Linked DNA regions of Diceros bicornis minor. The protein of the gene in region 2 interacts with the protein of the main gene of each other region in a pairwise test. Links are inferred from orthologs where the notes say so. Each region holds a gene or a part of one and is shown on either strand. Other genes may lie near its edges. The genes, in order: TIMP1 and CD63.

Region 1 (11,077 bases), on a different chromosome or scaffold from region 2:
CCCCAAACAACTACCTCTAAGGAATCTCCTGCAGGCCATGGGTGGGGGGCCAGGGCTACCCCTTCCTCCAGAGTCCCTGGTTGGGTTATGGGGAGGGGGCTCTGGTTGCCTGGGGGTTTCCCTTTTCACTCAAGTCAGACTCACAGGACAAAACCTAAGGGTAGGGACAGTAACACCCACAGTTTGGATGACATCAGGACAGTGCCCGAGGGAGAAGAGCTGTTTGCCCGTTGATAGGGCATTCGCCAATGAGCCTGTCAACTGGAGGGATTTGTGAACGGGGGATTTGCCAAGGAGGCAGTGATTTGTCAGCAGGGGGATAATTTATGAACTAGAGAGCCCTGTGCAAATGGAAATTATAAATTAGTCTAGTAAAATGTTATAAAGTATTGAGTAGAGAGATTATCCAATAAGTTGTGGTTGATAATGCAGGTTAAATTACCATTACTGATGTTGCAGATCACCAATGCTAATGCCAATGTAGAGGATTATTACCAAATCTTCACATTTCATGTAAAATATAAAAAGCCAACATTTTGCACCCCTCACTCCCCACAGCACTGGTCCCAGGGTGCTCCCCCCAGGTCATGGGTTAGTTCCCAGACACTACACGGGGACACTGCCTGCTGGATGGTAGTTCTTTATTTCACTGTCTTGGAGAAAGACAGACAGGAGTGGGAAAGAGGGTGAACACTGTGCAGGCTTCGGCTTCTGTTGGGGGCAGGATTCAGGCCGTCCGGGGCCGCAGGGACTGCCAGGTGCACAACCCTGGCTCCCGGGGCAGGCAGGCCAGGTAGCGGCTCTGGTAGCCCTTGTCAGAGCCTGTGAGGAGCTGGTCCGTCCACAAGCAATGAGTGTCATTCTGAAGTTTGCAGGGAACGGATGAACAGGGAAACACCTGGAGGAGGGGAGCGAGACACATCTCTGAGGGCTTCTCCTGCCCCTACCTCCCCTAAGGAGCAGAACTTTCCCCTCCTCAGCTTTCAACAGTGAGCTGCTGAGACCTGGTGTTGCCCCACCCGGGCACAGACTCAAGAACGACCCCTCCCACTGGGGAAACAGTCACTGGGTTCGACAAGGTGACAGTAAGCCAGTGAAAGGATCAGTTTCTTGGAGTAGTGGTTGGGGAACAGTCACAGCAGCATCAGTCAGGCAGGTCTCCCCGGGAACTGTCCCATAGGATAGGGAACAACTGGCAGTAGCAGGGAACAGCTGGCAGGTGGGGAACTGAAGCATAGGAAGGAGCCGTGGGGCTCAGAGACAGGCACTGGGGTCAGAGGACATTCTGGTCAGTCAGGGAACAGTCTTGGAATAGTCAGAAGGGCAATGTAACACGCCCTTGTGTGCGGAACAGTCAGAGCTGCAGAGCAACATCAGATGTGCTGGGGAAGAGTCAGTGGGTTTGGGAAACAGCACTTTGGGTTCTTGGAGAACATTCTAGGGAACCAAGAAACAATCCCAGGGGGTCAGGAATAGACAGCGGGACTACAGAATAGTCACAAGGGGGAGTTAGAGGGACAGGAAGCAGCCAGAAAGTCCAGGGAACAGCGAATCCCCAGGTATCAGACACTGGGTAGATGACAGATGACTGTTCCAGGGGAACAGCCATAGGGACAAGAAATAGCCGGAGGGAGCAAGAAACAAGCCATGGTTTGGGGAAGAGCCCAAGGACGGCTCTCCAGGGGCGGGCAGGGCCCGGGCACTCACTGTGCATTCCTCACAGCCAGCGGCGTAGGTCTTGGTGAAGCCCTGGCGCTGAGCGGAGCTCAGACTGTTCCAGGGAGCCACGAAACTGCAGGTGGTGATGTGCAGGTTCCCCTTCCATAGTTGTCCTGGGGGAGGGGAGGGGGCAACAGGCGGCTTCTGATTGGCTGGGCCGGGGCAGGGCGGCGCCTGACTGCCGTCCCCGGAGCTCAGACCCCCCGCTGGGCAACCCCCCAGCCTTCTGATAGGCTTAAATTGGGGCGGTCCCCATTTCAACTGGGACCATTCCCACAGAGCCTCGCCCCCTCACGGTCGCCGGGCAGCGTCTGAAGAGCGGGTTGGCGTGGCACAGGGCGAGGGGGCGGGGCCTCACCAGCGATGAGAAACTCCTCGCTGCGGTTCGCGGAACTATGCAAGTATCCGCAGAGGCTCTCCATAGCCGGGGTGTAGATGAACTGGGTGTCAGGGGCATCCCCCAAGGCGCTGAACCCTTTGAACATCTGTCGATGGATGAGGGAAAGAGTCTTTTTTACTGACATATCCTCCCACTCCACGTTCTTCCCTGAAGTCATATAGCATCCCGAGATCACAGCTAACTTCCTCGCCAACTGGTGGTCAGAGGCTTTTTTTTTTTTAAGATTTTATTTATTTATTTTTTTCCCCAAAGCCCCAGTAGATAGTTGTATGTCATAGCTGCACATCCTTCTAGTTGCTGTATGTGGGATGCGGCCTCAGCATGGCCGGAGAAGCGGTGTGTCGGTGCGCGCCTGGGATCCGAACCCGGGCCATCAGCAGCGGAGCGTGCGCACTTAACCGCTAAGACACGGGGCCGGCCCAAGAGGCTTTTTTTTTTGATGGGATGTTAGGAACTGCTGGGGAAGGGTCAGGAGGGCTACCTTGGTCATCTTGATCTCATAACGCCGGTATGGGGTGGTCTGGTTGACTTCTGAGGTCCCCACGAACTTGGCCCTGATGACTGCAGGAGAGGAGGAAAAAAAGTGAATCAAATGGACTGCATGAGCCAATAAAATAAAATAATCACAATAATACTGGCAAAGTACATACTTCAATAGGGGTGGCTGGATGCCAGGCAGTGCCCTAAGCGATTTACACATGTGTTAAAGAGCTCATGTGTATATTAAGTGCCTGCTTTTGCCAGGCATTGCTCTAAGCCTTTGACATATATTCACCATGTGTTCACTCACTCAGCTAATATTTTGGAGCGCCTGCTGTGTGCCAGGCACCATTCTGGGTGTTAAAGACACAACGGTGAACAAAACACAGAAATCCCTTCCCTTGTGCAATTCGCATTCTAGCCAAGAGGAGACAGACTCAAGAAAAGCAAAATAAAAAGTGCATGGAATGTTAGAAGGTATTAAGTGTGATGAGGAATTTCAGAGCTGGGTAAGGGGGATCAGGAGTACTAGGGAACAGTGGTTAAAATTTTGACTAGGGTAGTCAGGGAAGGCCACTCTGAGAAGGTGACATTTGAGGCAGCCACCCATGTGGATACCTGGGGGGAAGGGTATACCAGGCAGAAGGAGCAGCCAGTACAAAGGCCCTGAGGCCGGACTGGGCCTGGAATGATCAAGGAAGCATGAGGATGCCAGTGTGGCTAAAGCAGAGTCAGTGCAGGGCGGAGTGGAATTGTTCTAGAGGTAGGCACCATGTGAACCCCACTGGACTGAGAGGGAAAACAAAGCACAGAGTGTGTGGGCAGAGTGGGGTACACTCACCAAGGTCAGAGCTGCAGAAGGCCATCTGCGGGTGGGGTGGGGCACAGGTACAGGCTCTGCTGGGGGCTGTCAGCCACAGCAACAACAGAATGCCGGAGGCCAAGGGTGCAAACGGGGCCATGGTGTGTTCTGCAGGGGTGGGGAGAAGGGGTCAGGGGTCTCCCAGCCCAGTTGATCCACGGACCTGGGCAGGCCTCCTATCCCATCCTGCCCCCCCCAAGGTGGGATTAGGGACCATACTAGGGCTTGAGGGGTTGGGGAGTTTGAAGATTTTAAGGGGGTTGGGGATTTGAGAGCCCAGAGGAGTTTAGGGGTTTAGCGGGTCGGGAGAGTTTAGGAGTTATGGGGTTTGAGCGATGTAGGGTACTGGAGAGTGGGGTGATTATGAGGTTGTGGTGTTTGGGGAATAAGGAGGCTGAGGGAGTCTGAGGATTTAGGGGGTTGGGGAAGTCGGAAGGCTGAGGAGTTGGGGGTGACGCATTTGGGGTTTGGGGAGCTGAAGGAGTTTGGAAGTTTCCAGGCTGTGCATATTGAGAGAGAGAGGAGGCGGAGGAGTTGAGGGAGGCTGAGGAATTTGGAGGAGGTTGGGGGCTTAGGGAGTTGGGGGAGTTTGGGGGCATAAGAGGGTGGAGGTGCCTGCGAGATATGGGAGCAGAGGAAGTTTTGAGGTTTAGGGAGTTGGGATTTAGGAGTCAGGGGGATTAGGGGGCTTGGGAAATTTAGGGAGCTTCAGGGGTTTGGGGGGGATTTCGGGGTCAATGAGGGAAATTAGAGGAGTTGGCAGCTTAGGAGGCATCTGTGATATTAGGGGCTCATGGGTTTGGGGGAGTTGGGGTGGATGTCAGGGGTTCAAAGGAGTTTGGAGTGTCAGGATTGGGGGAGCAGATCCAGCCCCCCACCCTCTTCCCCTTGACCAGCCCAGGGTCCTGGTACCCGCCGGCCAGGCTGAGCAGCCAGGCTGGCTGTCTGGTAGGAAAGCTCCAGCCCAGCTCCAGACCCTGCAGGCCACCGGGGCCTCTGCCTACCTCTGGTGGAGTCTCTCTAGGCGCTGGGTCTGCGGCGATGGCGGCAGGGCCCTAGCAGCGGAGGATAAATGTCCACGCGAGGAGCGGGGGTGGCAGCCGTGCGGAAACCACAGGCCTCCAGGCTTCCTGGATGCATTACTCATCCGCCCACCATCAGTGGAGGCCAAGGGGCGGGCCGAGGGCTGCTGAAAAAGAGATGCACCCTCCTCCACTCCCTCCCCCTGGGCCTCGCCCTGGCCATCCTCCTCCCTCATCACGGCGTCTGGCAACAGTCCTTCCAGGAGGCCTCAATGGAGGGCTTACAGGCAGGATTCCCTCCAGTGCAGTTCCCTAAAGTCTCCAAACTCGCTTCGAAGTCTATCCAATCACCCACATCCCCCCAACTCCCCATGGCTGAAGCCCAAATTAGTTCATTCCTTCAATAAACACTTCTTCTGCACCTACTGTGTGCCAAGCACACACAAAAAACCACGAAAATCCCTCTCCTGGTAGCTCCGACATTCTGGTGAAGGGTGGGGGAGACAGAGAAGAAACAAATCAGTAGAAGCAGTGGAGGGAGATAAGGCAGGTGAATGGAGCACTGAGGCCCGGAGAGACTAGGTGACTTATCCAAGACCACAGTTAATAAGTGGCAGAACTGGGATTTGAAATCAGGTGGCCTGGAGCCAGAGCCTGGGTCTTAACCGCTCTCAAAAATCACAGGCAAATAGCCAGCATTTATATGGCACCAACTCTGTTCTAGGCACTCCGCATAGTTTATCTCACTTAAAGCTCACAGTAAGCCTCTGAGATGGGCACCAGTATTATTCCCATTTTACAGATGAGGAAATATGAAGTGTAGAGAGATTGAAGAACTTTCCCAGGATCACAGGGTATGGCTGGGATTTGAACCTAGGCTAACTGGTGCCAGGATCTTAACCCAGGCGTGGCACAGTCCTGGCAAGCAGAGAAGGTACTGGTGAATCCATGAGCTTTGGGGTGGGGGGAGTTGAATGGTGGTGAAAGAGGCCAGTGAGTCAGTAGAAAACTGATCCCCTCCCATCCTGCCCTGCCCCTTCCCCACCAACCCTCCCACACCCCTGGTGGGGGGTGGGGTGAGGCAATCCCTGCCCTCCAGCTTCCAGATGCTGCCTAAATCTTCCTTGGGGTCCTGGGAAAGGGCTCGGAGGGCTGATTAACATCCTTCCTTAGTTCAGGGAGGACAGACCAATAATAATATGATGGGAGTGATGATGGCAGCCACTTATTGAGCACTTACTGTATACTGTGCCCTAAAGTCTTTGGGTAAATTCTCTCATTCAATCTCCATTACCCCCTTGCTAATTAAGCTTGATTAACTCAGGGAGGTCAGCCCATTCAACAACAACAGCAATACCCCACAACAAAAACTACCAGCAGCATTTATAGTGTGCTTCCTGGGTATCAGGCACTGTTCTAAAATCTTTTTGACTGCGTTCTCTCTGAGTCAATCCTGATTATCTCCTTGCTAATTAATGTTGGCGAACCAAGGGATGTGAAACCAATAATAATAATAGTACCCAGCACTTTCTGAGGATGGAGGCTTCCTGTGTGCCAGATACCGTGCTAAGCGTTTTTCTCCCCGAAGTAACTAATCTATCCCTCACAACATCCCTGTGAGTTAGAGACTGTCCATATTCTCATTATACAGAGGCGGAAACTGAGGCACACACAAAGGGGTCGAGGGAATGAGAGTGAAGAAATGGCTCTGTTGGGAGGACAAGAAAGGGGAGAAGGGAAGTGCACCAGGACTTGGGAGAAGCTGATTGTGAAAGTGGGGGAGTGAGAGTGCACGAGAGCGGGGCTGACTCAGTGCGGGGGGATGCCCCGAAGGGAGACGTGGGAGAAGGGAAAGTCCTGCTGCAGCCCCTCGCTGACCCTGCTTCTGACGCCACCTCTGTGCTCTGAAACCTGAGTCAGCACGGAGTTTTGCCGACTGTCTATATGTGCGAGGTTGTGTGAATCTGGGTTATTGTGCAGGTTTTGAAACTGGTGGGGTTTCATGGAGGGGTGTCGGGCCGTGTGACCATCTGGGGAGCTGGATGGGTGTGGGGGCTGTGGGCCCAGCTGGGTGTGCAGATGGGACACACGACAATCCCCACAACACACGAAGTGCTTGGGCCTGATTGTGCCCTTTGTACAGATCAGGAGACTGAGGCACAGAGAGGGGTTAAGTGACCTGCCTGGGGTCCCACATGGCCGTAGGACGAGGAGAAGCCAAGATTCAAACCTAGGGCTCCCCAGGGGATCCCAGAGTGCAAAGGTCCCTGCATGCACACATGTGCAGACACACACACACACATACATAGCGTTGTGTTCAGGCTCAGGTCCAGAGGAAACAAGGTGGGTTTATGAAAAGAGGGGCCTAGAAACCTCGGGGTGTGTGCGTGTGCGCTTGCGTGCAGCTCTCTGCTGTGTCTCTGCCTCTGAGAGTGGCGTGTGTGGCTTTAGGTGGTGTGTGCTCCCCGTGTGGTGTACGTGTGTACCTGTTTTGTACAGCCCCGTGTGTTTTGTGTTGCTTCTGGGAGTCGTGTGTCCACCTCTGTAAAGCCCGTCTAGGTTGCACACGGAATTGTGGATGTGGTGTTCACCTCTGGGAGCTGTGTGTGTGCCTGAGTGTTAGCTCCTGTGCCGCCTCTGGATTGTTTCCCTGTTATGCTAACTAGAGGATCCCGTAACCCCCAGCCCAACACGGTGCCTCTCAGCGCCCCGGAATGACGCCAGGCATTTGGGAAATGAGGAAGGTGGGGGTGAGGCCTGAAGGTCAATCGGTCACCCTCAGCCTGTGGGCTTCCTGTGCCTGTCGGGAACCGGGAACCGCCCCCGGCCCCAGCATCCCCTCCGGGAAGGCGGGAAGGCCGAACCCCGTCTCTCCTGGTGGGGCAGCCGTCCGCTCGGCCGAGGGAGGGGGCGTGGCCCTGCTCGTGCATCCGCGCATGGTGGGGCAGGGGTTGGCCGAACCGGCCCCTCTAGCCCGCCCCGGGTCGGGGTCTGGGGAGACTTGAGGCATCCCCACTCCAGAGTGTGCGAGTGTGAGTCCGTGTCTGTGCACGCATACACCCAGGAGTGTTGTCTGTATACTTAGGAGGGTTGTGGGTGTCTCTGATTGTATGTATGCCTCTCCGTTTGTACATATGGCATATTCTCTGTGTCCCTAGATATACTTTTGTGTGCCCAGGTGTGTGGTGTGGGTCTCTATGTTATAGGTCGCAGTGGTTACATGAATCCCTAGGAGTGTGTGTACCTGTGTATGTGGTGTAGGTCCTTCTGTTTGTTGTGCACATGCCTAGGAGTGGTTGTATGTCTGTGAGTGTTGAATATGTTGTGTGTGCCTGTTAGAGTTGTGTGTGCCTCTGCATTCTGTGACTGTGCCTCTGCGGGTTGTTTGTGTCTATATTGCATGGGTAATCATTCACGTTGTGTGTGTCCCTCTGTTATGTGGCTTTGGGCGAGAGGAGGGTGGCTGTGTGTCTGCGCCCAAAAGTGTTGACTGTGTGTCTACAAATGTTGGGTGTGTGCTGTTGGGCAAGGAGGCTGGCCAGGAGTGCCGGCCCCAGCCCCACACTAACCACCTGGCTGGCTGAATGACTGTGTGGGTCTCTGTGCAGCCGGAAAGCGAGGTGTGCTCTGGAGCCTGTGTTGGTTATGGGTCTTTCCATCTTGTGGGTCTCAAAGTGCATGGGCATCTCTGGGTTGGTTTGTGTAGATCTGAGCCCTGAGGGTTTGTGTGTATGTCTCTAGGTTGTGTATGAGCGTGGATGAGGCTTACCTACAAGGCCTGACTGAGGGGTCCAGTTGCTACATGTTCACCACCACACCCCCACGCACGCACATGCACACACTCACTTCTCTATCATCCATTCACTGTAAAAATAGACTTTCCCTTTTCCGGAAAAGTCCCCCACCCTTATCCCATGTGTCTGCCCAGGAAAGCAGAGGCGGGAAGTCTGCCACTGGAGGTGGTGGAGGGAGGAACAGGCGGCCAGGGTTCTGGGTTCGATTCTGGGCTTGGAGGCACTGTGTGACCCCCCAGCTGCTGTCTGCCTGTCTCTGACTCGCCTCTTCTGGGAAATGGCTCCTAACGTGGCTCCCACTGGATCGGCTCCCCTCAGCACCACCCCCACCCCTGGTGGTCAGCCCTCCTGCCCTGACCATGCTCTGCCTTCCCACCCCACCAGCTCAGCAGCACAACGTACCCTGTGGTTGTGAAGATGGGACATGCACACTCTGGGATGGGCAAGGTGAGTCCCCAATTGGGGTGCGTACATGTGGGTGTTTGTAAATGGTGCATGCTCCTGGCATTGTGAGTTTGTATGTAGGTGTATATTGTGTATTCAGTGCACATGAGTGATTCCGTATGATTGTGTGTCCTGGGGTGTCTTTATCTATTTGTATGTTTTTCCTCACATTCTTAGATTTTGTTGGCCCAATTTACTATTATGCATTCTGCCAGTTTTACGTGTCGTTATTTTGTTAGTGTGTCCAGAATTGTGTCTGTGTACACGCATGCCTCTGTGTGGAACACACACAATGTAATCTTTTATGTTCAAGGGTCTTGGGATCCTGTATGCTTTCTACCCATCTGATATTGTCTCTGTGTACATAGAAAGCAGACTTGTAATTTGTGTGTTTGAGTGTGTCTGTGCTTCTGTATGTTTGTATATTGTGTGTACAACTGATTTTGTGTCTGGGTGCCCATGTGCACATAACTGTATATATACACAATTTTTCCACAGCTTTATTGAGACATAATTCACATACCATACAACTTACCCCATTCAAAGTAGACAATTCAATCATTGTTTACAGAGTTGTATACACCCAACTTTGTGTCTGTGTGTACATGTAAAAACCAGGAGACCCAGGATTATGCGTGCTTGAATGCCTTGGTGTGCCCGCTGAAATTTCTGTGTATGCAGCTCACCTGTGTCATTTGTGTGCACGCCCCTGCCCCGAGGCACCCCCACTGCCCACTGCTGCCCAGTCGTGACCAGGCCCTAATCGCCACCCCACTCCCACAGGTCAAGGTGGACAACCAGCATGACTTCCAGGACATCGCAAGTGTCGTAGCACTGACCAAGACGTACGCCACTGCCGAGCCCTTCATTGATGCCAAATATGACGTGCGTGTCCAGAAGATTGGGCAGAACTACAAGGCCTACATGTGAGCAGAGTGGCCAAGGCCCGGGTAGGGGTCCCCTGCCCTGCCCTGTGCAGCCCAGGCCCCCCTGAGCCTCTCTCCTCTCTCCTCTTGTCCCCCAGGAGGACGTCAGTGTCAGGCAACTGGAAGACCAACACTGGCTCTGCGATGCTAGAGCAGATTGCCATGTCTGACAGGTGGGTGGCCAGAGCTCAGGCGGGAAGGGACATGAGGGTGGGAGTGTGGCTGCCCAGGCAAGGTGCTGACAGGCTTCCTTGCCCCACGTCTTGGCAGGTACAAGCTGTGGGTGGATACGTGCTCAGAGATTTTTGGGGGACTGGACATCTGCGCAGTGGAAGCGCTGCATGGCAAGGACGGAAGGGATCACATCATTGAGGTGGGAACACCCAGGGATTGGTGGGGGCACAGAGGGAGGCGCAGGTGCAGGGCAGCAACACTGTAAACTGTGAAGCACTCCATGGCCCAGAAGGTCCACAGTGAATGGCAAAATGTTTAGTAAACTGTAAAGTGCCTTGTGAACTGGGACATCCCTGGCAAATGGCAAAATACTTAGTAAACTCTAAACTGCTCTGTGAACTTGGACATCCTTAGTTAATAGCAAAAGACTTGTTAAACTATAGAGTGCTCTGTGAACTGAGAATGCAAAGCACTTAGTACCCTTTAAAGTGTTCTGTGAACTGACAAGTCTATGGCAAACAGCAAAGCACTTTGTAAACTGTAAAGTACTTTATAAAGAGTGGTGGTTGGGGCCGGCCCAGTGGCACAAGCGGTTAAGTGCGTGCACTCTGCTGCGGTGGCCCGGGGTTCACCGGTTCAGATCCCGGGCGCGCACCGACGCACTGCTTGGCAAGCCATGCTGTGGTGGAAGGAAGTGGAGGAAGATGGGCACGGATGTTAGCCCAGGGCCAGTCTTCCTCAGCAAAAAAGAGGAGGATTGGCAGATGTTAGCACAGGGCTGATCTCCTCACCAAAAAAAAAAAAGAAAGAAAAGAAAAGAGTGGTGGTTGATCCTAAAACACTCTGTAAACTGTAAAGTACCTTATAAATTAGGAAGTGTTTAGTGAACAGCAAAGTGCTTTATAAAATATAAAAAAGGAGCTCTGTAAACTGGGAAGTCCTTGTTATTGAAGCAAAGTGCTTTGAAAATTCTAAAGCTCTTTGTAAACAGCGGTGTCCCTGGTAAACAGTAAAGCAGTTTGTAAACTGTAAAATGCCTTGAAAATTCAGAGTGCTTGGTAAAGAGGAGCGCTTTCTATATGGTAAAGCATTTTGTAAACAGTGGTGCCCTTTACAAAGCAATTTCTAAAGTCTAAACACACCATATATCCCATAGTCCTTTGTAAAGGGCAAGGAGCTTTGTAAACTGTAAAGTACCATGTAAACCACAATGTTCTTTGTAAAGGACAAAGCACCAGCAAACTATAAAGCAGGGT
Region 2 (11,403 bases):
GAGGGTGACGGGATGCCACAGGACAGCAGGCCGTGTGCGACCTGCCTACTCCCAACCTGGGGAGGGGACTAAGGATCCTTCTCACCTCTGCTGGGCCACCAGCCCCAGGACCCAGAAGACAGGGCCTGACATGGGCTGGAGTGGGAGAGGGACACTGATTATAACACCCTTTGGGCTGCAGACCTGAAAGTACAGCAGCGCATCATGAACCTGATCTGTGACCCGGACCTGACCAAGGTGAGCAAGTGCCTGGAGCATGCCCTGACTGCTCGTCACCCCAGGACCCGCTACAGCCCAGGCTGGGACGCCAAGCTGCTCTGGCTGCCAGCCTCCTACCTCCCAGCCAGCCTGGTGGATGCTGTGCTCACCTGGGTCCTTCCCAAGCCTGCCCATGCCGTCTACTGAGTCCAGCCCTCCAGCAAGACGTTTTTCTTCCAGGACAAAGACTGATTTATTTCTGTCCCCACCCTGGTACTGCCGGGTGCCTGGCACAAAATAGGCACTCAATAAATGTTATTGAGTATTAAAAAAACACCGTAGGTGGGCAGAAATGGAAGTGCCCAGTGGGAAACTGACCCCATTTAAGTGCTAACTACCTTCGGCTGACTTACTGCCCAGGGTCTCTGGCCTGTTTAGTGCCTGCAAAACACCTAGCACCCACTAGGGGGCGCAAGGGGACTATCACATCTTTGAAGCTGCACCTGGAGGAATGGCTACCAGAGGGCACTGTTGGACGTCTCCTTTATTTTCTATGTGGAATAAGGTCACAATTCAGTGTTTGGAGTGGAAATGGTCATTATCTGTTTTTCTTGAAGGCAGGAGGGAAGGTGGTGAAAAGGGGTAGGGGCCAGGCTGGGTGGTTTCCATGGAAGAAACACAATACCCACTAAATTCTATCATCTAATCAAAGTCAAGACAGATGGACACTGGCCACACAGGTCACCACCCTGAAAGGAGCCAGGCCTGCTGGGTGCAGGAGGGAGTTGCTGGGCCCTGTGAAGTGAGCAGAGGACCAAGGAGAAGATGTCCACGATAGACGTGGGCAGGTCTCTTCCCGTGGAGGACCTTTGTGGGGAGTCCCTTTGACTTCTGCAGGAGATGGCTTCAGGAACGCTTCAGCACTGAGCCTGGCAGCACACGACTAAGAGACAGGGAGGGCAGGGGGCCACAGCCTCCAGATCCCCGCTTCCACTGCCAGCCCAACAAACGCCTTCAGCAAAATCCTCCTTTCCCAACACCCCCCAAAATAGGCCCCCTTTCCCAGGGGCGCAAACAGAACAAGGTCCCAGAGGACGGGAACATGGATGAGGAGAGAAAAGGGATGAAGTATCACTCCTGAAGACAAACTGAGACTCCCTCTCTTCTCGGTCTGGAAAAATAATCCGTTTAATTGAAAAACCTGGAGTATAGGACTCCATTCCCCTAGATGAGGGGGCTGAAGAGACCAGACCCCCTACATCACCTCATAGCCACTTCGGATACTCTTCACGAGGCAGCAGGCAAAGACGATTCCCAGGACCTAGAGGGAAAGATAGAGGGGGCGTGGAGAGCGGTCAGAAGGGTGAGGAACCCAGGACCCGCCCAAGAGACCCCAAACACAACCAGGGCTCCCCTCCCCAGGCCAGTACCTCCTGCTCAGCACCCTCCTCCCCGCTGCCCCTCCCACCCAGATGCCCTGGACTGAGTCCCAAGGGCGCCTCTCACCTCCACAAAGGCAATACCCAGGGCTGCGGCAGCCACCACCAGCACATTTTTCCTCAGCCAGCCTCCAATCTTCTCCACACAGCCCTGAAGGGTGACAGGCACATAAGGCAAGAATACCATCAGAAACTTCCCACCCACCTCCCTCTGTACCTTTCACTCCACCCCCAGCACGCCTAGATCCCCTCCCCAACCCTGACCACAACTTCCAGAGCCCCAGCCCTCTCCAACTCCACCCCTGGTCCCTCTCACCAGGTTCCCCAAATCCCCTGCTGTCTCAGCCTCCTCCCTACCTCGGTATGGATACTCTTCTCGGTGGGCTTAGTCCCGCAGCCCTGAGTGACATTGACACAGCAGGAGTCAGGGACTGAGCCATTGACCTTGAGAGGGATGATCTCCCAGTCAGTGTAATTAGCCGCCCCGCAGCACTTAAACTGAAGGAGAGGAGAGAGATGGGGAAGAAGGCTGTTGAGTGGACCTCCACCTTCAATATGGAGATGAGACTCTTCTTCCCCCACTACCCCTGCTCCCAGCAACCCCACTCACTTCCTCCTGCAACTTGTCCAGGACTAAAGCCGTTTGGTTGTCGTGCGGATAACTCTGCATCTGCTGCTTGAACTTCTTATTAAATTCTGACATCACCTGGCAGTAGGGAGGAGCACTGTTCAGGTCAGAACTCTGAGCACCTGGGCCCCAGAGCAGCCAGGCCTGTGGGGCAGGGTCCTCCCCTCAGTCCCCACTTACCTGCTCTCTAAAGACATAGCCAGCAATGGCTGCAGCCACCTCCACCAGCGTGATAAGAGACAGGAAGATGGCAAACTACAGGCGCAAAGGGAGGGAATCAGGTTTGGAGTCTGGGTGAGAGGGGCGTGCTGTGGCCCAACCAGTCTCTGGAACACTCACAAAGGTTTTCCTCACCCACCCACCTCACTTCACCCACCCTCGTGAGCCCCCTCCATAGAAATGCCCTCCAGCAATCCCAGGCAGCCACGCCAGCCCCGTTATAACCCACTCACTGTGATCATAAGACAGTAGTTCTCCTTGCAGGCCCCACAGCAGCCCACAAAGGCCACCAGGAAGAGGAAGGCACCCACTGCGATGATGACCACAGGCACCAGACAGCCAGGGGTGGCATCCTGGATATTGGCCTGATTCAAGATGATCTGAGCCATTACACCCACAACGATCAGTCCCACTGCACAGGCCTGCGCAGAGGGCACATCAGGGTTAGGCCAGACCCACAACCCATCAGCCCCCCATGCTGGAGGGCAGCGGGTGCACCCAGGACACAGACTTAACCCCATCCCTGGGGAACAGATTGTCACACTTCCAGGAAACTTTTGACTGTGGGCAAGGGGGATGATCCATCCTTGCCCCATAGTTTGATCAAATACAAAAAGAGAAGTTCCAGAAAGCCTTGACCCCAGGGCATATGATCCTAACCTAGAGCAGTGCTCCCTCTAGGGCTCCCAGAACTGCCCTCGCGCTATCCTCTGAGGCCCGCCCCATCCTCATCAGCTGAGACTAGGGTTCCTCAGGCCAGCGACGCCAGCGAGGAGAAGAAAGGAGGAAAAGGGGGCAAGAGTAGGGTGCTCTCCCAGGACAAACAGCAGCCTCTCAAGCCAAGAGCCCAGGGCAGGAGCAAAGTGAGGTAGGCAGAGCGCTTCCCCACCCCCGAGCAGCTGGAGGGGTGAAGAGGGATGAGGGAATGGAGAGGAATGAGGGGTGGACAGGGGAGATTGGAGAGAAGAGGATGGGGAACGCAGGGAAGCCCCGCGGCGATAGCATCAGGCCGTTGGCGTTGGCTGGTTGCCCCACTGCCCTTATCACAAGAGGTTGGGTCACCAGACAGGAAGGGCCAGAAGGGGCTTGGGGGAGGGCGCTGCGCACCCAGACTGGCCATTCTGGACCAAACCAGCCTCGGAGGTCCCTGAAAGCTGGAGGAGGGGGGTGGCCGTGCTGTCTGCGGCCCGTTCCTGGGCTTTCCTTCCACATCTGGTCTCCAGCTGCCTTCATTCCTGGTCCCTCGGCCCTCAGCACTCCGGAGCCAGGTCTCCCCGCACCCTGCCAGCGCGCCCGCACCGGCCCCCTCCCCACTCACGCAAAAGGCCAGCAGAAGAACGTAGAGCAAGAACTTGACACATTTCATTCCTCCTTCCACCGCCATGGCTGCCGGACCTGGGCCGAGGGGAGAACAGGAGGATTAGAGCCGGCCGAGGGGGGACGTCGGTCTCCGGGCTCCCCGCCGGCCCTCGAGGCCTTCCCTGCCCGGCCCCCATCCCCAGCCCCTCCCACCCGGAAACCCGCGGTCGGATCCACGTCTCCCAGCCCCCTCTTCCTGGCCGGAGAGAGGTGGGGGCGACCGCCGCGAAGCCCGGACCCCGCCCCGCCGCCTCGGGGCCCGGGACCGATCGGAGGGCGCCCCCGGGGCCCGGCCTGACGCCCACCCTCGGCCCGCCGGCGTCAAACACCCCCTCCCCACCAACCAGCCCCGAAAATCGGTCCTCAGCCCCAGCCCGGCCCCCGGCCACCGTCCCCTGGGCTCTGACCACCCCCAAATAAGTGCGGCCACCACCCCACCCCGCCCCGCCCGCCCGGGCTCTGGAACTTTTCAAAGTTGCGAAGTCGCGAGGGCCTCGGGAGCGGCCGGAGGGCAGGCGGGTCTCCGGAGGCCGGGCGAGCCCCGCAGGAGGGAGCTGCCGGGCCGCCCCCGCCCCGCGCCGCGCCGCGCCGGCCGGGGCCGCGCCTCACCTGGGCTCCCCGAGGCTCGCTCCTCTCCCGCCGCGATCCGGGGCTCTCTAGCGGCGCCCCCCGCTCCGGCCCCGCCCCCCGCCCGCGGCCCCGCCCCGGGCCCCGGCCGCCTCCCCCGCCCAGTGGCCGGCAGCCTCCCTCATGTGACGCGGGAACAGCTGCGGCCTGAGTCACCCGGCCGGCGAGGGGAGGGCGGAGCCCCCCGCCCGGCCAGGGCCACGTGGCCCCTATCGGGAAGACAGCGCCCCAACCCGCACAGGGAGTGTCCGGGGCAGGACCTCAGGGCGCCTGGGGCCCTGCTGGCGCCCGCAGCCCACTCGGGGCAGGAGCCGGACCGAGTGCCGCCTTGTTCTCTCCGGTTCAGGGAAGCGGAAGAGGCGTGAAGGAGCCAAAGGAGAGACGAGCGGCCCAGAGCTACCCTCTGAGCGCACGGGCCAGGCAGAGCTGAGGCAAGGTGACAAGATGGTCTGCCAGAGGCCTCCTCGTCCCCCACCCGGAGCCCACTCCCTGCCTCTGGCTCCATCTCTGTTCGAGCCCCCACCCCCATCCCCCAGTCCGCAGAGGGCGCCTTAGGCTCCCTCGGATCGGGTGGGGCCAGAATAAACACTTCCAGAAAGTCCCTGGCCTCACATCCTGGGAGTCCCTCAACATTCTAGAGTGGGTGTTCCTGTCCCCTCTCATTTAGTCCCTTCTCCATTTTCTAGAGCTCCTGAGTAGTGGGCTGAGGAGGGGAGGAAGCCCTTCTCAGGGCCATCCCACCCAGTCAATCATGACACATCAGAATCCAGTCCTTCCCTATGGGGGAGGATTGACAAGGTCCGTGCTCCCACCTCTCCTGGCTCAGTCCTTCTTGGTGCAGCCGTGGGGGAGGGCACTAAGGCAGGCATGGCATATATCCCTGGATTTCCCCCATCCCATCCTAGCTGACAGACCGTCTCATGCCCTAGCGCAAAGCCAGGTGAGGGCTGGAAGGGGGGTGTGGCAGCTCAAGCTGCCTCTCTCCCGTGTGTGCCATGGTGGTCCCCAGAAGGAGCTGAATAAACATGCCAGGGACAGAACCAGCCCCACCCTGCCAGCCTGGACCCCAGCCCTTAGGTTCTTATGGTCCTGCCTCAAGAACCACTTTCGGAGTCTTGGTGTGTGTACACGAAGAAGGAAAGAAACTGTAAGAGCAAAAGGAAGGAGATCTGGGCTGGACTGAGAACCAGTTTCAGGGTTCTCAGGAAGGGATTACAACCTTCCAGCAAGACACACCAAGCCCTTGCTCCCCAGTTATCACAGCAGGCAGGCTGTGGAGGAGGAGTGAAGATGCTGGAAAAAGGAGTATTCATCAGTTTCTTTATCGTGCTGCCCCTAGATGCCAGACATGTGCTAGGCATGGGGCCAGGAGGGCAAGGAAGACAGAGGCCCTGCCCTCTGCCAGGCAGAACCAAGCTTACCCTGTGAACAGAGGCAGAACCCCTGGTGGCAGCTGGACCAGCTCAGAGGGAGGGACAGGTGGTGCCTCTGCCCGAAGTAAAAAGAAAAAGAGTGGATTTCACAGAGGTGGGTGGTGATTTCCAAGGTGACCTTAGAGAATAAAGGGGCAAGCTGTCAGTTCCAGGGACAAGAAAAGGGCCAAGTGTAAAAAAGGAGTAGTTTAACAAGTCCCTGTAGGTTGGGGTTGGCTGGCTCAAAGGGCTCAGGAAGGATGTGGTAAAACATGGACGGGAGGGAAGGTGGTCTGAAGTCAAGATTGAGAAACTTTAGATGCATAACAACCAAGTGTAACGCTTGGTCTTGGACTGAATCTTTGAACAAACCAACTGTGAAAGACATTTGGGGAACAATTGGGGAAATTTGAATATGGGCTGAGAATTCAACATGAGAAAGTAATTTTGTTAGCTATGATGATAGTATTCGATTATATAGGAAAAGTACTCTATTTTTTAAAGATGCATACTAAAATATTTAAGGGTGAAATGTCATTTCTGTAATTGCTTTGGAATACTTTACAAAACAATATGAAGCAAAAAGAAGACAGTCTAGGTGATAGGACTGTTGAGAACCTGGAAGGCTGTGTTGGGAATGTTCTAAGGTGATGGGAGTGTGGACATTACTGAGATGGTGAACCATCTTGGGATTGGCTATACTGAAATGAGGAGGAATGAATGTCAGCTGACCTGGAGGATAGCTGGGATATCACTGCCACAGTCCAAGGAAGAGCCGATGAAGGCCAGAACCACGGAGAGTAGGGAAGTCGCAGAGGCATTTCCGAGGGCACACGGAAGGACTGCAGCACCGCTTACCTGTGGGAGGGGGCGAGGAAGTGCAAGAGTCTGAGACGACTCAGAGCTTCCCAACCTGGGCCCCCTGGGAAGAGGTGGTGGTCCCCCAAGGGGCACCTGGGTGGAGACGTCCCCCCAGGAATTGGGGATGTGAAACTGAGGAGAGAAGAGCAGTCCGACCAGAGATAAAAAGTGATGTCTAAACCTATAGATGGTGAGGGCCAGAACAAAGAAAACAGAGGGGGACAGAGCCTTCTGTTTAAGGAACATGGGGAGGAGTGAGCAGCCAGCAGAAGAGGTGAGAGGGAAAGGAAGTTGCAGAGCTGGACCCCTGCACTCCGTTGGCACGGTGCTGGGCACTTATACCCATTACTCATTTAATCCTCACCACAACCCTGTGAGGTCCGTATGACTTGTCCTGTTTTAGGGATAAGGAAACTGAGGCTTGGAGACAGGGAGAGATGTGCCCAGAGCCCAAGCTGGGAACGGGCAGTGTTAGGATTTGAACCCAGATCTCTGGGGGTTGCAAAGCCCAAGCTTTTTCCCCTCTCTCTCAGAGGCCAAGAGAAAAGAGAACTTCACGACAGTGGCCAGAAGCGTCCAATAGTATAGAACGGTCAATTTGGATGAAAAGCAAGAGAACGCCATGGGATGGGGTGGCCATCTCCAGAGCAGTGTCAGGGCAGGATCCAGAGCACCTGCAGGGCCCCGGGAGGGGGGACATCCAAGTGGGCTGGGGCAGAGCTGAGGTGAAGGTCAGGAGAATGGGGCCGTCTGAGAGGAACACCAGGAGAAGGAGCAGGTGCAGAGTGGTGGCAGCAGCCTGGTCAAGCCATGGGAGAGAAAGAACGGTGCCAGGGGAGACAGGAAAGGACAGGGCCAGGGAGACCCCGGAGAACAAGCCTGTGTGGAGTTGGAAGTGAGGGGTAAGAAAGGCACGTTCCTAATCAAATTTGTAGAGCCAAGAGTAGAATGGTGGGGGCCAGAGGCTGGGGGAGGGAGGAAGGGAGAGTTAGTTCAGTGGGGGTGCAGTTTCAGTTTGGGAAGATGAAAAAGTTCTAGAGATGGGTGATGGTTGTGGTTGCACAACAATGTGAATGTGCTTAGTGCCGCTGAACTGCACTTAAAAATGATTAAAATGCAGGGCCGGCCCTGTGGCTTAGCGGTTAAGTGCACGTGCTCCACTCCTGGCGGCCTGAGTTCGGATCTGGGCGCGCACCTACGCACTGCTTCTCCGGCCATGCTGAGGCGGCGGCCCACATACAGCAACTAGAAGGGTGTGCAACTACGACGTACAACTATCTACTGGGGCTTTGGGGAGAAAAAGGGAAAAAAAACGAGGAGGATGGGCAATAGATGTTAGCTCAGGGCCAGTCTTCCTCAGCAAAAAGAGGAGGATTGGCATGGATGTTAGCTCAGAGCTGATCTTCCCCACAAAAAAAAAAGAAAATGGTAAATGTTATGTATATTTTAACACAATTTCAAAAAAAAGAATCACCCACTCCCCTAGCCTGGAAAGCTGACATAGAGCCCTGTGTGCCTGCTGGGCTCCAGGAAGGGCCTCTGAGAGGGGAGGCAGCTGGCCTCAGATCTGGCCCTTCACATCACATCCTTCAGAGCCTCCAGCACCTGCTCCAAATGCCTGGCATCCAGACATGCCACCAAGCCACCCGATTAGCTCAGGCCACTGTCCCTTGGGTGCCTGGCACTGGTTGGTGGTAGGTGAGCTGGGGTAGGCACCCTTGCCCTTCCCCACAGAGCAGAGCCAGGCTCTCTCCAGCTCCACCACGCCTCCACCCAGCGCCAGCAGCCGGGCTTGGGGGCCACAAGTATCCCAAGCGAAGGTGGTGCCATCTGAGAGCACATAGGCATCGGCCAGACCCAGTGCAACACACGGCAGCTTGTAGCCAGAGCCCGAAGCCTCCTGAAGGCCAGATGGAGACAGGGAGCCCAGTGCCTGCTGAACAGACACCTTGTCCCCCAACTCAGCAGGGCCACCAGGCCCCCTGCCCATGCCCCACCGGCAGGGGGCTGGCTCAGAGATGAGGCTCAGGTGCCCTGGAAGGAGAGGCCTCTGTGAACTCGAAACTGCCACCTGCAGGGGGGGTGGGGGAGCATGAGAAAGGAGTGAGGAGACATGGGGAAGGAGAGGAGGGAAGAGGAGAGTTGGGAGAGAGGAGAGGAGAGACAGGAGGGAACAGAAGAGGGTGAAAGACGGAGAGGCTCGGGGAGATGAGAAGGGAAAACAGACATGAGGGAGAGGGGTGGGGAGAAGGAAGAGGAGGAGACCCGGATGGGAGAGAGAAAGGAAATGAAGAGCCATCAGCATCAAGGCCATCTCTTCGCTGGAGAGGGTAGGAAGGGTGGTGGCTGGAATTTAAGGTCAAGGGATTGGATCTGAACTGGGGGCCTGAGATTTAAATCCAGAGGCCCCAGCTCTGGATATGAGGGAGGCATGGGTGCTTGATGACCGCGCCCAGATTGCAGGGATATATCAAGGGGGTTAGAGATGCACTGGCGGGGTCTGGGGCGTAGAGAAAGGTCTCCAGTCACTGTGGTGGCCAGCTCTGACTCCCCAACCTGTCTGGGCAAGGCTAGGTCACCGCACTGTGGTGCCCAGGAGAACATCATCATTGCGAAAGTCACCTTACATCCTCACTGCGAGGAAAGGGAAACTCAGAGAGACGAAGCCACCCACTCAGGGGCAGCCTACAGGTGAGACCTAGGGTCTTGACACACCCACTCCAGGGCTGGGTGCACCACGCCTGCCACCTGCAACAAGTGCCCTGAGGTCAGAAGCCCTTGTGCGAGAGCACACATAGGTGGGGTGACTTTGGCTAAACTCTCACCTTCCTGAGGCTCGACTTCCACCCAGCTAGGCAGGAAGAAAACTATTCCCTTTCTGGCCCCACAGGGCGCCTGTGAGGCCCACAGAAGAAATGAAGGGGATCTGTTTTGTTACCTTAAGATGATAAAGGCTTGTGGCCTGCCAGTGGTGTAGCAGTTAAGTGTGCGCGCTTCACTTCAGCGGCCCGAGGTTCGCAGGTTCGGATCCCGGGTACGCACCACTTGTCAAGCCATGCTGTGGCGGCACCCCATATAAAGTAGAGGAAGATGGGGATGGATGTTAGCCCAGGGCCGGTCTTCCTCGGCAAAAACAGGGGGATTGGCATCGGATATTACCTCAGGGCTAATCTTCCTTACACACACACACAAAATAGATGATAAGGGCTTTATCGTACCCTGTTTGTAGACTTACAGGAATTAAAATGATTTTGCTTTGAGAAATATCTGGACTCCACCTCACTTGGGGTGGCCAAGGAAAGGGTTGGGAGGGACAACCCAGCTTCCCTTGGCCCCTCCTACCCACTTTGGCCTTGGCCCAGAGCTCCAGTTCAAGCCCCACCGCCCAGCTCTGTTCCAACCCCACCCTGCCCCACTCCCCACTGCCAAGCTCCGTCCTCAGGGCTCTTCCTCTGTTCTTACCCATTTCTTTCCCTACTCCTTGGGCCTCCAGCCCCTGACTTCTGGCCCCTTGTTCTTCCTACCCTTGCCTGGTCTTGTCCCAGCCTCCTCCCAGCCGGTGTCACTATTACCAACAGGGTCAATCTAGATGTCCAGCTGGTGAGTGGGTAGGGCGGGCAGCCCACTCCTCGGGCATTGCCTGGGCCAGGAGCCCGGCTGCTGTGTGGTTCTGGTCCAGAACCAGCTCAGGAGTGCAGCAGCCTCCACCTGAGAGTCACAGACCCACACACCTACGGTTTCTCCCGGGATGGAGCAGACATGAACATGCGAGAAATGAGACAGAGGCAATGCTGCAGTGGGGTGGTGAGCTCAGGTGTCTGTTCCTTGGGGCTGAGAGGCCCAGAGGCCTAGGCAGGGGCTGAGGAAGAATTCATTCATTCGTTCATCCTTCTTTGTATTGAAAGCCTAAACATGCCAGGCACTGGGACTATATGGAGATGAGTAAGACATGACTCTGCCTTCAAGGTGATCACAATCTGTGATACAGTGTGGTGAGGGCTACGGCAAAGAGAAGCCCTGGATGCTGGGGGCCACCTGGCACAGGCTGGGGGTGCAGCAGAGCATTGAAGGCCTTGGGGACATTCACCCAGGCTGTGCTCAACTGTGGGATTCCTCCCCATGGGTGTGGTCTTGCACCTCAGGGAACTAGGGGTGAGAAGACCAGGCAGAGTTTGAATGGGTGGGGATCGCTGGCACCCCCAGGCAGAGCCCAGACCACTGTGTCCTGCCCTCACATCTCTAATTTCTGGTTCCCACTCCTGGACCCCAGCCAGACCTTCTGGCCGTTCACACACCCCCACCATTGCCATACACACACAGGCACACACACATCCCTCATCTGGCAACAAGTTTGACCTTCACTGCCCTGTGCTCTCTCTGGAGATTAGATTCCCTCTGACCACTCCTGCCTCCAGTTGCCCTCTGCTTCCCACCAGCTCCCCTCACCTGGCGGCCTAGATCATGCTTTGTCACCTCCTGGGTCAGCACATCCGCCAGCTGAAGTCCCTGGAGAAGCAGACTTTGCACTCAGACCCCTCCTTTTCTTTGACCAGCATCTGGAATAGTGGTGCCTCTTTCCAGCATAGCTCGGCAATGGGCCAGCCTTGGCCGCTGCACCCAGGAGGACCCCACCAAGGGCCTGGAGAGGGAACTATAGGTG

What was found.
Region 1: the proteins of CD63 (region 2) and TIMP1 interact in binary tests that used the Homo sapiens proteins (3 or more experiments, as listed by UniProt). The link is inferred for Diceros bicornis minor from reciprocal best matches to the Homo sapiens genes CD63 and TIMP1.

The regions. Positions count from the first base shown.
Region 1 is NC_080781.1:41,338,964-41,350,040, reverse strand, and holds TIMP1 (metalloproteinase inhibitor 1), read right to left. Parts: upstream 4,620-11,077; 5' UTR 4,466-4,619; intron 3,570-4,465; 5' UTR 3,562-3,569; coding exon 3,441-3,561; intron 2,681-3,440; coding exon 2,601-2,680; intron 2,205-2,600; coding exon 2,078-2,204; intron 1,833-2,077; coding exon 1,708-1,832; intron 899-1,707; coding exon 728-898; 3' UTR 625-727; downstream 1-624. Other genes in the region: SYN1 (synapsin-1), read left to right, coding at 8,662-8,724, 9,505-9,647, 9,746-9,820, 9,918-10,020. UniProt on the Homo sapiens protein: Metalloproteinase inhibitor that functions by forming one to one complexes with target metalloproteinases, such as collagenases, and irreversibly inactivates them by binding to their catalytic zinc cofactor.
Region 2 is NC_080756.1:12,932,559-12,943,961, reverse strand, and holds CD63 (CD63 antigen), read right to left. Parts: upstream 4,530-11,403; 5' UTR 4,453-4,529; intron 3,880-4,452; 5' UTR 3,869-3,879; coding exon 3,803-3,868; intron 2,907-3,802; coding exon 2,718-2,906; intron 2,521-2,717; coding exon 2,446-2,520; intron 2,344-2,445; coding exon 2,248-2,343; intron 2,136-2,247; coding exon 1,995-2,135; intron 1,789-1,994; coding exon 1,705-1,788; intron 1,520-1,704; coding exon 1,454-1,519; 3' UTR 1,368-1,453; downstream 1-1,367. Other genes in the region: RDH5 (retinol dehydrogenase 5), read left to right, coding at 182-405. UniProt on the Homo sapiens protein: Functions as a cell surface receptor for TIMP1 and plays a role in the activation of cellular signaling cascades. Plays a role in the activation of ITGB1 and integrin signaling, leading to the activation of AKT, FAK/PTK2 and MAP kinases.